Linked DNA regions of Drosophila melanogaster. Changing the gene in region 2 together with the main gene of any one other region gives a genetic interaction. Each region holds a gene or a part of one and is shown on either strand. Other genes may lie near its edges.

Evidence for each region. Genes that interact genetically often act in the same process or in processes that back each other up.
Region 1: of Abl (region 2) and Nrt, changing one enhances a phenotype caused by changing the other (phenotypic enhancement), as found in Drosophila melanogaster (2 studies listed by BioGRID).
Region 3: of Abl (region 2) and Abi, changing one suppresses a phenotype caused by changing the other (phenotypic suppression), as found in Drosophila melanogaster (2 studies listed by BioGRID).

The regions. Positions count from the first base shown.
Region 1 is NT_037436.4:16,764,064-16,769,089, forward strand, and holds the start of Nrt (neurotactin), read left to right. Parts: upstream 1-2,008; 5' UTR 2,009-2,477; intron 2,478-5,026. UniProt on the Drosophila melanogaster protein: May mediate or modulate cell adhesion between embryonic cells during development.
Region 2 is NT_037436.4:16,644,836-16,649,448, forward strand, and holds the start of Abl (Abl tyrosine kinase), read right to left. Parts: upstream 3,048-4,613; 5' UTR 2,309-3,047; coding exon 1,975-2,308; intron 1-1,974. UniProt on the Drosophila melanogaster protein: Arm and Abl proteins function cooperatively at adherens junctions in both the CNS and epidermis; critical for embryonic epithelial morphogenesis regulating cell shape changes and cell migration.
Region 3 is NT_033777.3:14,118,744-14,124,223, reverse strand, and holds Abi (abelson interacting protein), read left to right. Parts: upstream 1-1,803; 5' UTR 1,804-1,946; intron 1,947-1,974; exon of another isoform or gene 1,975-2,111; 5' UTR 2,112-2,122; coding exon 2,123-2,478; intron 2,479-2,754; coding exon 2,755-3,377; intron 3,378-3,438; coding exon 3,439-3,529; intron 3,530-3,601; coding exon 3,602-3,613; intron 3,614-3,751; coding exon 3,752-3,939; intron 3,940-3,995; coding exon 3,996-4,159; 3' UTR 4,160-4,962; downstream 4,963-5,480. Other genes in the region: twf (twinfilin), read right to left, coding at 37-189, 474-1,249, 1,351-1,428, 1,488-1,512.

The DNA of each region.
Region 1 (5,026 bases), 120 kb from region 2:
TTGCTTGATTGAATTACATATCGTGGGGTTAGTGGTGCAGAGAACAGAACTCCCTCGAATTTCTTGAAGTCTTCGTTTTCGGTTTCCACACGTTTCCGGTTCAAATTTAAATTAAACTTGTTAATTATTCCATCCGAAGAACAACCCACACAAGACAGGAACATGTGTTCACTACTCCACTTCCTTTCCTTGGGCGTCCCACATTTTGCGGGTTTCCTCGTTACCATTTGCGATCATGATAATGATCCGATGCGATCATTTTGATCCTTCCCCTTCGACGTGACGGGCATGCGTCAAACTCAAATACGTATGTAACTCGAGCCAACCTTCACTTTTATTTTCTAGTTTCCTACCATATTTATTCCTTTTTTTCGGTAGCAGATGTCGCCTAACATCATGTCTAATGAAATGCTTCAGTAGCTCCACAATGAAATAGGGAACCCTCATAGTTCGGGGCGTGAAAGTTGTTGACATGTGGGTAGGAATTCCGTGGGGTAATACCTTTGGAAGAACAGGGGAATCGACTTCTAATACATTTCTAGCACGTGTCGTCATGGCTTCTGTTCTAATAATTCAACCGACACAAGTTCAATATAAATATTAAACTATGTACATACATAGGTATACAATGAAAATATTGAAATATTGAAAAATATTTACCAAACACTTTAGTTAAATGGGTAGCCTAATTGTCTGAAGACATATCTCCTACATTAGTTGATTACTCATAAATCATAAGCGTAACATTTTTATAAAATAGAGCACATACTATATAGTAATTGAAAGTATAATACTGGGGGAGTGCCCTTTATTAAATAAACTGCAACAACGTATGTTTTTCTCATAACTGTGGATGAATCATTCTGTTGATTTGCGTATCGCTCAAAATAAATGCATTAAAATCTTCTTTATAGTTTTCATTGCGCAAAAGTTGATTGAAAGAATCATTATATTTTGTCTTTCTTACCAAATAAGTGAATTTTCTCAGGGGTAGGGATATGAAACCCTATGCGAAAAGGGGTGTTGGGTTGGAGGTAGCCAAGGGTAAGGGTTTGTGCTGTAATGACGCATCAGGACGTGGAATTTCCCTACATATGCCAGATGTTCCCATCGGCATAAACTGCGCTTCAACACTTGCCGCCAGTTGATAAGCATTTGAAAACGAGTTTCAAAAACCGAAATCAAAACCTTTACTCAAACAAAAGTGCCATATCAACAAACTTCTTTCCCTTCCCCTTGCCAGCTTCCCTCTCTTTTTAAGAAAAATTAATAACAAAGAAATATAGGGAGATCGGCATCTACTTCTATTTGAAGCATGTACAACTCAGAAATTTTTAATAACTTTAAGTTTTATATTTATAAAGAGCTGTAGACTACGTAATACCTCTACTTTGGGTTTTGGGTGTTGACTTGAACAATTTATAACAATTTTACCCTATGTTCTCCTACATGTTCTATAAAGTATCTGATCTGATCATAATATCTGAGGTGTCTTGTTTCACTAACAATAAACGCTTTACCAAAACTACAATACCTTTTTCATAAAATCACCATCGAACATTTTGCACTTACTGTACAGGAAAACAAAGCCGCTACTTTTACTGCTGCTTTCCAGCCACCCCTATGATTTATAAATTTACAATGCCGGCTGCTTCCAGTTCCAGTGCACAGTGGTCCAGTTCGAACTAAATCATAAACATGAATTATGATCATGTCTAATAAGTTTAATTAAATTACTTATAAAATATTACAACAATTCGTTGTGTAGGTGTTTTCAATGCTAATCACTGTTGCTTGACATAATTTGTATACTATTATAAACTTACAAGTTATATCTTAAATTATGTTTTTTCTTTTTTTCAAGAGAGAAACATGTTCTCGCCGAAAACACGTTCCACTTCCAGTTCCCCGAATAAAAACAAATCCAAGAAAATTAACATTAACAGTTGCTGTTAAGACTCTGTTAACCGTTTCGAAGCCGCATGAATTGCATGACATCGAAACGGCGTCAGTCAGTTTTGTTCTGTTTTGGAAGCCGCACGCGTTTTCCCTCGCTCCGGTTGTGCTCGCTTTCGCATCGCACACACACACACACTCTCGCCGCACAGACGCGACCAAAAGAAAACAAAATCAAATTCGGCGCAAACAAGGAATAACTTTTTATATTCCTATTGTGCATCGTATGTTGTATTAAGTGCAAGAAATATATTTACACAAATCTAACAAAAACACCGCAACTACTTTTGTGCATTTTGTTTTGCTCTGTGCCGAAGGAGCGGAGAAAAGAAAAAACCGCAACAAATCAAAAAATCTGTGCGTTTGTTATACACACCTAAGTGTCCTGCAGGAAGGACATCGGGTTCATTTACGCCACCCGCTGTTTTCAAGGACCAACGGATTATTCCCAATTGCCACATTTCAACAAGTTCGAAAAAAGCAACACACATTTTACACAGTGTTTGCGAGAATTGAAAAAGGTAAGATTACAAATTCGTGTGAAGGACCTCGGGGATTTGTAGAAGAGGAAGAGCAGTTGAAAACAAATCGATGAATTGTAAATGAAGTCAAATTTGTCTGCCAACTTTAATAATTTAACAAGTGAATATGGACACTTCAAACTTGAAAGATTAAAATGTGATTATAATTGAATAAAACAATTTACATGCATATTTATTTAGTTTTATACAAATGTAAAGATTTTGGCCAAAAAGTTTATTGAAAAACGCTAATGCCGTAGCAATTGAAATCTGAGTTATTTGTGAAAAGTAGAAGATAAAAGATATAAGAGCTTAATTTGAAAACTTTTAAAATATGTCGGTATCCGATCTTGACGGCTCTAAATTAATTTATAATCCTCCACAATCCATAATTACCGAGGAAACATCTTACCAAAACAATTTAAATGGCGTCTCGAAAAACATTTCATTCCGAGCTCTTAATAAGATTAATGGGGCTTCACGATTCATTGATATAATCCCTCCGTAACGAAGCACACCCACCCCATCGTCATCATCATCTTACGCGTCTTGAGGTCTAATGGCTCGTGTCAATGATCAGACGGACTCTTTCCCTCAATAATTCCCATTTTCCATCCTTTCTAATGGCTTGTGTCGCGGCTCCGTATGAAAAACATAACCATTTGACATAAATCACGGCCCTGACAAATCCTTTTGAACATTTCATAAACATAATGTGTGTTAATCCTCAGATATTTCAATCCATCAACATCCAGAGTTTGGTGGATGGAGTTGCCCCAAAAATAGCGCGACCCCTTTGGTATCATTTGTATGCACAGTCAGACGCCGGCTTGAATAAATCCCCAAATAGTCATTCCGTAAACAAATGCAAAGGAAATTGTTGAAGGGATACGGATACCGGGAAAAAGGGCAATAATTCAATGATGAATTAATAGGCGCATGGAAATGATCACGAATTCCCGGGATCTTCAGAGAAAGTTCGAGTTGGCAGCTGCTGCTCTTCGATTCGCTCCAGAAAAAGAAAAAAAGACTTCCGGGGAATCGAGCAACTAAAAAGTGAGAAAAGCATCAACAAAGCCAAACAGAGGCACAACAAATGGGGTAGGAAAACGTGAAGATGCCACGCTGACGCAACATTTGCATTCGGAAAGAGATTTATGGAGGCAACTCCCCCGCCCATTGACTTTTCGCTCCAACTTCCCTCATTGTTTTGCCAAGTTTTCAAAAGACAAGAGCCGACATGATGATGTTGATGTGTGTGCCTCAGTATCTCATTTTCCCAATTTACCCCAAAATGTGTGTAATCAAAAGTTTTCGTCTTTACAATTCAATTTTAAATTGTTGTTCCTATGTAAGTGTTGCCTGCTTTCCACTCGAAAAGTAAACAACAATTAAGGAAAAACACAACAAGGCAAATGCAACAAGAATACAAAGCACGATTTTCAACACTTTTTCTCGCTCTCAATGATAAACAAAACTCGGCTATTTACATCTGGAGTTCATGGTCAAACAGTTTAAACAAAAATGGAGTTTTCATTTAGGAAATTGTAAATCCATCAGCAATAAGAACTTGAGAGTCAAGTGCTGCGATACGATCCCAAAACTCGAATCCCCTCAAGAGCTGCTGACAATTGACTAATGAGGGTTACAAGAAACCCCAGCGCAAATCATAAATATTTGTTGTTGACAATTCCAATGGCCCTGCAAGGAGCCTGGCTTCAAGGAATTCTCAGGGTTCTTATCGCGGAGGAAATCTTCGCTTATCTGCCTGAAAAAGGCAACGTGGTGCTAGAAAATATTGTGCAATAAAATGGAATGATATAGTGGAAGGACAGCCATGAGTTGTGAGGAAGGCAGTGTATGCAGACTTAACAGATACCCAGTACTTCCATTTAAGAAACAACTAATTGCATACATAATATTGGTTAAATGCACCAGGAACTTCGTGGTTCAATGCACTCAGTTAATGTTATAACATTCTCCAACAAATATTCTTGAATATAAGATATAAGATGTGTCTACCTCATCAAATCCAAGAGTACGCGGTATGCACAAACATTGAACCAACCAACGCAACTCAGGGCTATCCTATCCCATATCTTCAAGAGTTGTTTGCCCCTCGAGAGTAATTACAAATTCATAAAAATGGCCTGTTTGAAGTGGAAATCTCGTTCCGATTTTGTTTGCTCTTCCCACTCCAAACTCCATTTATTCCATTTTTGTTGTGCCAATCCCCTTGTCCTGGAACTAGGCGCCTTCCGCTGATCCTTTGAGGTTTGTGGGACTCTGTGCCCCTTTACCAGTTTCCGCTCTCTACCTGCCCCAGGAGATTGTTATCCATCAAAATAAAATGAGGGGAGACGACTGTGAATTCGCATCGCACGTGTATAAACCTTTGAGTCTTGCGGTTTCTGGTTTCTGCCCCTTTTGTACTGGAAATAAATTCAGTCTTATATTTCTTATGAATTATTATAGTATGTCCTCAAGTAGTTCTTAACAAACAAGTTTGTATATTTTTAAAGGTTTTCAACATTTGTTGCAACTTGCGA
Region 2 (4,613 bases):
CCAGTTGAGAAGAGCAAGAAGAAAAATCTACAGCTTATTGTAAATCATCTGGGAAAAGTGGCTCAGCTTGGAGTGCCAAGGAAAAATCAATACTTTGGCCAAGCCATTCGTTTGGGAGATGAATAGTTTGCAAAAGGAAGTATTTACATCAAAAGTTAAAAAGTAAAATAATAAAGGATTAAATTTCAATTTTCGAACTTAAGCAAATTTATGGATTTAATACATTTAGGAACAGATTGTCGCGCGTGTAAATATCAAAACTCGGAAAAGTCCACTTTCAGTTTGAAACAGCTGTTGCGAAAATGGCTTGCAATTGTCAGGGGAATAAGGCAACACGATTTCAAGTTAAAAAACTACCTTACTATTAATACGACCCTCGTCATGTATTCTCATACATAGTTATGCTTTTTGTTAAAAAAAAAGTTCTACCACTGAGTCTGCGTAACTATTATAACCTGACAAATGTTTTTCCGGTAGTCTTGAGAAAATCCCGAATGCCACCCGATTGTGGGTCCTATTGTGGTAGGACTTCGTCGACATGGACATAAAAAAGCTATTAGAAACGGCAAATGTCTCCCAATAAGTGGGTGTGCGGAAAATGCGGAAACGGGGAGGATGTAAAGAAAAAATTATGCAGCTTGGCAGGGCAAATAATGGAAAAGTATTAGACAAAAAAATGAGGCAAATAAAAATGTGCGTGAGTGCGTGAAGGGCAGGAAAAATGCAAGGGGAAATGCGGAAAAGTGGAGGAAATGGCAATATGTCAGCGGGGGTGGGATAACGGTGTTGTGGGTCGCAATTTCAACCACTGTGCGGGTGGCAGGGATAAGGGTGCCACGAGGAAGGCCGAAGGATAAAGGATGATGGAGAGCACGAATGCGGATTGAAACCGCCCCAAGCAGCACAAAAACAACAGCAACGCGTGCTGCTCTCTCTCTTTTCTCTTCTCTCCTTCACTTTTCTTTCTCATTCATTCTCCTTCTCTCCAGTAAACAAAAGCAGCGGAAAAGCAACAACAAGTATGAAACTAGCCGGCAATAACAACAATAATTTCCTATATAATCGGAAGAAATGGAGGAAAAAAGAAATTGGCTCAATTGGAAAGCAGCGTATATAGAGGAAGGGCGGGGATCATAAAGAAGGAGAGAGGGGGAAAGGGAAAGCCGAGTGGACTGCACTTTATGAACAATAAATACAACACTGTGCAGCCCAAACTGGCAGATAAATCAAAACTTACATGATATTTACAAAAGAGATTTAATGGCAAGAGCACGCTTAAAAAAGCATTTTTTTATTGAAAGTACCCCCATTGAATAAGTTTTTAGTTACTGATTTCTTGAATGTCCTTAAAAACTGTTGTATGGAATATCAAAAGATTTCATCACGAATTGAAATGATTGTGGTGGATGTGAGATAACACAACTCTGAGCAATTGGCAATACAGCAACAACAATTTCCATGTATAATAAGAAAAGTCACAATACTATGATGGAATTTACACCTGAGTTTGGAGGCTGCATGCAATTTTTTACAATTAGTGTGTAAGTGAATGGGACCTCCAAATGTATGCATGTTTGTGCATCCTCTGACTTTTATATGTATGTTACACAACACTTATACAGATCGATTTGGTCCAGATGATTTCTACGATTGATGCCTTTTTAACTCAAACTACAATGTGCAAGAAAATAATTCTAAGATCCAATGTAAAAGAAGAAACACCAATGAGAAATAAGTCAAGCTTACAGAAATCGAAACACAAAATGATCAAACCACTAAATAACTTCGAATAGAAAACAAAATTTTAGTGCACACCTAATTTTATAAAAACGATTTTGATTGAGCGTGCACTATGTACAGACGTTTTTCGTTTAATTTGACTTAACAAGGCTTTCAAATTTTGAAAATATGCTTTTTGCTCTGTGTACTTAGCATGCTTTCGATGCCTGTTTTCCAACACTTGCAGGAACTTACCGTTATGCTCGGTGAATATGTTGAGACCCACGGTGGGATTGCAGCGTGCATCCTTGTGTCCGCCACTACGCTGGCTCAGCCCCGATCCGGATCCGCCACCGCCTCCGCCCGATCCGCTGCCACTGGCCACGCCGGAGGACGAGGACTTGATGCGGGAGCCACGGAGCGTGGAGCCCCCGCCGAGGGGGGCGCTGCTGACGCCGCTGGAACTGGAGATGCAGTGGGGGGAAACGGAGGCCACTGGGCTGCTGGAGAGGCCGATGCAGCTGACGGGGGCCCCCGAGCCGCCTCCTCCCGAGTGGGCGCCCCTGTCCTTGCCCTGCTGAGCCCCCATTTGCCAGTGGGTGGTTGGGTGGTTTTTCGCTCTTGCGCAGCAACAACAACTTGTACACTTTTCTCTCTCTTCTCTCGGCTCCTGCTGCTACGGCTTATTCGCTTACTACTACTACTTATTATTTGCTTTGCTTTTCTTGTTATATACTTCAGCTTTAACTCTTCTCTCTTGGCCTTTTGCTCAATTATTTGCCGTTTTGCCTTTTGCTTTGCTTTAATTTATTTCACACACACACACGCACACATTTTTCTTTCTCTTTCTGCGTTTTTGGAGTAGACAAAAAAGATTGGAGACACTCACGCACACACAGAAGTACACACGCACGGAGGAAAAAGGAAGTTTGCGATTTATCTGATTTGTTGTTCTAGTGGCCGCTCAGGTGCAATTGCGAATTTGCAGCATGTTGGTAAAATGTTGTGTCGGCAAACTTCTTGTCGACGGCTGGGAGGCTGGGTGAGCTTAACTGGCGAGGGGGGTCTCAAAAACACGCCCTGAAAATGCACTTTGTCTTGCGCCTCCGCCTCTGGCTTCACCTCTCTCTCTTGCTTACGCTCGCCTGCTCTGTTTTTTACGGTTTAATTGATCCGCAGGCTGATCCGCTGAACATGGCAAATTAATCGGTTTTCGCGACGATATAGCTCTATCTGATCTGCTAGCGTTGCTTGCTGATTTATCTACATCTGTGCATTTTTTCCACGCACCGCGACGGATCGAATTGGAATCCAACTTGCACTCGTGTGACCGCTTGTCGGTCGTTTAAACATACCCTACTTGGCAGCATACCGATAGACGTATCGATATTGATAATAAATGCTTAGTACTTACGAACGCGTTGGCAGCGCTAGTTTGGTAAGAAACTCGGCTAATGCAATATGATGGGTGCGCGACACGGACTGGTTGGGTGGTTAACTTAGCTTAGTAAGCCAGTGCTTAAAAACTCCATGATTGTGAACACTAATTTTTGGTTGTTCAAAAAAAAATTAAATTCAAACGTTTAAAACACATAATTTGAATTAAAAGAATCTTGATATAGCTTTCTAGGAAAAGTTTATTCTCTTTAGATTTTCAATGCAATGCAACTTATAACATTATCTTTAATTTTTCATGGATACACTTCGAATTTTTTCGACTATTGCGTCAACCCTAGTTTAGTTTATTGATTTTAAGAGAAAACTGACTCAAATCAAAATGTAATTGACATTTAAAAACATCGAATAATCAAGCTACGGTTTTTATAATATGCCTTTAGATGTATTCATAAATTCCCATTTAGCCCGACTAATAAATACAACTGCAATACTTTCCATCCTTTTCCGTTTGTTACGTTTTATTTATCCGTTGGTTTTGTTTAGCATTCTCAATCTTTAGTGTTCTTGCTTAGTTATTATTTAGTATGTATACCCGACAGAAATTTCAAGTTTGTTCGTTTCAATTTCTCTCTCCTGCTAGAGTTCAGTATCAATCGATCCTTCTCTCCATTCACACGATCCTCCTTCAGCTTCTGCTCCGATTTCATTTTCAGTTACATTTTCCTCGCTTACACTAAATTAACTTTTCAAGTAGGACTTTTGCTTTTCATTTTCTCGGTTTTGCTCTTTCACATGCGATCTCTTCTGTTCTGTTCGCTTACAAGTATAAATATAATTTAATTTTTCTCTGGTTATTATTATTTTACGTTCTTTTTTTTTTTTTTTTTTGTTACGTTCAAGGACTTTCTGTGGCTTTGTTAAGTTACCAAAAAGCAGCAAGAAATTTGAAGGAATATTCAAATGCATTTAACACAGGTTAACTAAATAAATGCCTTCCCCTAACAGAATCGAACTTTTTGTATTGCAGCATGACTGACACACTGGTTAAAACTATACTGACTGACTGGAATATATGTTAAAATTTCAAAAATATTTTATTGGTGACTATGACAATGCTTCGACTTAATCCAGTCAGTCAGCAACATTTTATCAGACGTCTTTTCGACTGTTATAAATATTGTTTGTTCTTACAGATTTGAAAACAGTTTATTACTTTACAATAACAATTTGCGCTCTGGATCTTGGAACAATAGACTAACTTAGTGTTTTGTTATTGGTTGGTATTCCGTTTTCACGTGTTTAATATTCCGTTAATATAGGTTTTTATAAATATATATGCGTATAGACTTAGAAGTACAAAGTTCTCAGACCCCAACTACAAGTGATTTTAGGAAAACAGTTCTCCAGTAAATCAAATTCAATTTCAACCAAAAATGCCTGTCGTTCAAGTATCGCAAACTGTGCGATATCCAAACTGAAGGCAGGAGTCTGATCCT
Region 3 (5,480 bases), on a different chromosome or scaffold from region 2:
TAAACAGAATTGACTCGGTGGGATCGGGATTCAGACTTAGTCCTCTGCGGTGGGACGCGTGAGGCGCTTGGCGCCTCGGTTTGGTGGCCCCTTGGGCTTGGCAAAAGCCGGTCGGTGTAGAATCTTCTTTGGGTGCAGCTCGTCCTGCAAGAAGGCTTCGGTCAGCTCGCTGCCGCTGTCGATTTCAAGCTGAAATGTAAAACGTTGTTAGAAACATGAATCAGATTTAGTATGATTTAAAATTACTCATTATTTATGATTTACAGATTTCTATTTCAAGTGAAAAGTGAGACATTCGCCCTAATTATGATTCAAAATATTTCTAGAGATCGTGAATCAAAAGTATAGTGAATGTGGCGATTTGAAAGCAATAAATAAATCACAAACAATATATACCCTGCTTTTGCTTTTTATAGCCCTAATCTTTAGTGCTATTAGCGCAGCCACACCCACTCGCATTCATATCAACTCACCTTCTTAACAACCTCCACGCCAAGGGCCGCGAGCTCGTCGAGAAAAGGAGCCTTACAGCTTGAGTACATCATGCGCTCGCGCACGGAGCAGGAATATCCAGGCATGGAGTAGACGAACACGTACGACTCAAAGTAGTCGCCCTCGTGCGTGTGCCGAAACAGGAAGAGGTGGTATCGTGCATGATCCTCGGGCACTTGCTTCGGCAGATCGGCGAGCTCCACTTTGGCCGCACGCGAAACATGGATCTGTTCCTCCTCCAGATCGATGCGGAACTGAAGGTAGTCGTGCTTGCCGCGCACCAAATCCTGAACGGCAGCCACGGTTGCCTCGCTCAGCGGGCAATTGATCCCACCCAGAGTTTGGTGCCGCGTATTCGTATTGATCTCAGTGTGAACCTCTGTCTTTCGCAGCTCTTTCAGCTCCTCCTCCCTGCTGGTCAATGGAGCTGGGGCTGCGAAATCCTGCTTGTGCCGGCGATAGCCCTCCAGCGTGCACTCATCCAGAGTGGTGGCATGCAGCTCCTCTGTGATGTATGCTGATCCGAACTCCGTTTTCAACGTGGCCTTCGTGGAAGCGTATACCATCTTCTGTCGGATGCTGGCCGTGTCCGGCGTCCAGCTGATAAGTAGCCAACTGTAGCCCAGCGGGATCTTGGCGTCCAGGCGATAGAGAATATAGCAGGGCACATCCTTTTCCAGTAGGGGACCTATAAGCTTGTCGTAGTCGCGCTCCCAATCCTTTTTCGTCTCCGCCGTGGCGCCGCAACTAAGCTGCTCTGTAATTTGGGGCGGGGTGAAAACGGATGCGGGTTCGTTATCAAATCGTATGCCTAGTATATATCTTGTGTATATACGTTTCTGGATTAAATCCACTCACCATTCTCGATCGAAACTTTTATCACGCGAAATTTACCATTCTTCGCTTTGCCGAACACCTTGGCCAGCTGCTCGTTGGCTGAAAATACAAAGGGTGTTCTAAGGATGCGGATTAGGTGGTTCCCAAAGATAACAAACCTCGGATACCCGTTTGGTGAGACATTTGGACAACAGCTAAAATTAATATTGCCGAAAAAATATATTACTCACAACCAGTGTGACCGCAAAGCGCGAGTAGGGAAATACTAAACCGGGAAATATGTACCGATTCTGATTGGCAATCACTTCAAAGCGGCTTTAAATGTGTAAAAAAAAAAGAATTATTAATTAAAAAGATACTGTAATGCTATTTTTATAACTAAATTTTGGGAAAATTTTTAACACTCTGTTTTATAGAACATACATTTCAAAAATAATACCAAATGTGTCTGCACTGATACAGTGTTGAAAAATTCTTCAAGCTCCAGTACTTTGCAGCACAGGCCAGCGTTCTTTCTTTTTTCACGGAAAATGTAATGAAAAACTGCATTTAACTGCATTTAAAACGTAGCAACTAGCCCGGAAAAGCATCTGTTGTGCAATCGCATAGTCAATAAAGTGAGTGCACGCGAGATTCGTCCGATTAAACCGCTCCAGCGATCAACTGGAGCAGCTGGGCGTCGACGTCGGCAGAGGCCAGCCCACGCCCCAAATGTTTACGGGCGTGAAAAGTGCGGAAAAGCGAGGAATTTAATTGGGTTTTCGTTTCCCGTTTGCCCGCAGCATCCACACCCATGTTGACCGAAACCCCCATGGCCAGCGAGAACATCATGGACGAACTAGCCTCTCTGATACGCACCGAGATCCCCGATGGCCGCCAGAGTCTGCGGGACAGCTACACGAACCTGGAGCGGGTGGCCGACTACTGCGAGGACACCTACTACCGCGCGGACAACAAGAAGGCGGCCCTGGAGGCCACCAAGAACTACACCACCCAGTCGCTGGCCAGCGTGGCCTACCAGATTAACACGCTCGCCTATAGCTACATGCAGCTCCTCGAGCTTCAGGCCCAGCAGCTCGGCGAGATGGAGTCCCAGATGAACCACATCGCCCAGACGGTGCATATCCACAAGGAGAAGGTGGCCAGGAGGTAAGAACAACAAATTGCTTAAACTAGAATAGGAAAAGGGGATATGCATATTTTAAAACGACAAAGAATACGGAATGAACATTTTTGTCTGTAAGTACGACTCATCGGTGATAAAAGCTTCATAGAGAAGAAATGTACATTCATACATGCGTCGTCAGACGTGCTGATAAGACTGAACGTCTCTTTCTTCATTCTTTTCCTACATAACTATTTAGTTTTTTCAATTCACTTTATTTGTATTAATTATTTTTGATTATCTTCATTGTCTTTTCTCAGAGAGATTGGCGTGCTTACGGCTAACAAGGTGAGCTCGCGCCAGTTTAAGATCGTGGCGCCCATCAATCCGGAGAAGCCCATCAAGTATGTGCGCAAGCCCATCGACTACTCGATGTTGGACGAGATTGGCCACGGCATTAACTCGGCCCAGCACTCGCAGGTGCGACAGAAACATCGGGGCTCCAGCCATGGGTCCGTGCAATCCTTATTGCCGCCGTCGGTGGGACCTCCGCCAACCACGAAGCCCCCAACTCCGCCGCAGATGTCGCGAGCTGGGAACACTGGCACACTGGGCAAGTCGGTCAGCAATACCGGGACACTGGGCAAGAGTTCGCGGGAGTACCGCACTCCGCCTGTGGTCAATCCACCACAGGTGCCATCGCACTACGCTCCCAACTATCCTATTGGGCATCCAAAGCGAATGTCGACGGCTTCTTCAACGATGACTACCACCACCACAGGCGGCGGAGCGGCGGGCAATGAACGAGCTGCTGGCTACAGTGCACTTCCGATGCCACCCAGCCAGCAGATAGCCACACATGTAAACCTGCCCTCCGCGGGCATGATGCAATCGCTGCCACCACCGCCGCCCACTACGTACGACGATCGCAGCAGCATGCCACGTGAGTTAATTTGATTATTCTGCAATAGCTCAATACTAATAATGCGGTTTGCAATTCGTAGCAGCTCCTCCTTCACCACTTACGGTTTCGCAGCACGAGATGACCGAGCAGAGTCACATTGGCATGCACACTTTGGGACGCAATATCAACAGGTAAGTTTCTGGAAAATGCAATCCCTTCTTTGTGTAAATATAACCTATTTATTGTTCTCTGTGCAAATCCAGGAATCCAAATAGGTAAATTGCATGTTTCTCTGTTTATCATAGGGTTATACTCAGCTAAAAAAAGTTATACTAGGTTTTCGTGTTTGTACTGTGTATAACTCCATGAAATTCATATGTTATCTTGTATATTAAACGCGTATTTTTCCAAAGGAATCACTTCAGCTTGAACTTCGCTCGTCCCGGCTCACAGTCGCCTCCCTTGCCACCTCCGCCGCCGCCGGAGGATGAGCATCAAGACTTCGGACGACCACGCACATCGACGGGACCGCAGCTGGCGCCCATAGTGCCCGAGGATCAGAACTTACCCGGCTGGGTGCCCAAGAACTTCATTGAGAAGGGTAGGCTGATTGGAGCAACTAACAATATACCTTACTAATTCTTACAAACATTCCAGTGGTAGCCATTTACGACTACTATGCCGACAAGGACGACGAGCTGAGCTTCCAGGAAAGCTCAGTGCTGTACGTGCTCAAGAAAAACGACGACGGCTGGTGGGAGGGCGTCATGGATGGTGTTACCGGTCTGTTTCCGGGCAACTACGTAGAGCCTTGTGTCTAAGCCTCGCATCGATATTCTAAACATGCCAACCATTACAATAATCTGCATCATCTGGTCTGTTCCAGTCCTCTGCTGCTTCTCAAGAGCTCCAAAAAATTTCAATTCAGTTATCGGAGAGTTAGACTGAGGACCGCAACAGACTCAGCTGACAATGACGATAAGATTTTGAGCATATTAATAAGGACAATTATACAATTACACACCTACACAAGCACAGCAGGCCAGAGAAAGCGAATTCCATTAGCATCAGCCAACCGCATTTAGTCTAATATAAACGAGCACACAAACACACAGAATCCACGGGCTAGGGATACCGCTTGCTGCCCAACTAAAACTATTTACACTTTAGTAGCCGAAAACGATGCAAGAAGGGGAAAGTGAAACCGGATACCCGTGAATAACTTATGCGATATTATAAAACTGTTCCACAACCGTAGACGAATTCTGTCCTGCTCCTGCCGCCAATCCAAATACTTTAAATATTTGCTCACAGTTTTATCAAGCGATTTCTGTTTGCCTTGCGCTTTGATATGCCCGGCTATTATACACCAATACTACCCGAACCTATGCCCCCAGCAATACTGTAGGTTATATAAATTTCAGTTAGCATTTAATACTTAAGTATTGGCCAGTTGGAACTTTTGTTTATACTTTTACGAACCGCAACGATGTCTTTTTTTTGCGAACGTTTAGTTAAAATGGAATTGCCAGCAAAGGAATCAAATTAAATTAAACAATACAAGTACACATACGCTCTATATGGTAAAAATAATAGCTAATAAAAATTTCAATTACTAAACCGCAAGCCCTTGTTCTATGACCGTGTAATTTGCGCTGACCTTCTCGTGAGTCGAGCCCCGGATGTCAGTAAAAATCCGTAATTGGGGCAAGGCTCTGTGGCCTGCCAAATTCAAATTCGAAATCTCAAATGCAAATTTCAAGTCGTGTGATGGAAGGCTTGAAATATTTGCAAATGCCAACACTCATTGGGGTCATTCAGTCAGTCAATCAATCCATTATAATCGACACTTTGCTCTACAAACCGATTTCAATTCAATGTCTCGTCCCGGAAAACTTTTCCATAACTCGGCTCCGGGTAAATTAATGCTTTCGTGGTGATATGTGGAAGGTTTTTTACCCATTTGCTAAATTTATTATCAGGTTTCGAGGAGTTGACGTGGCGGAAATGCCAGAAAAAAGTGGAGTGCTGGCATGATTTGCATAAAATGTGCTAAATTGTTGCCCACTTTTTGGGCCCCTCAACTATACATACATAAATATGGAAATACCTTTATTTGTGAACAATTATTGGAGTGGACCT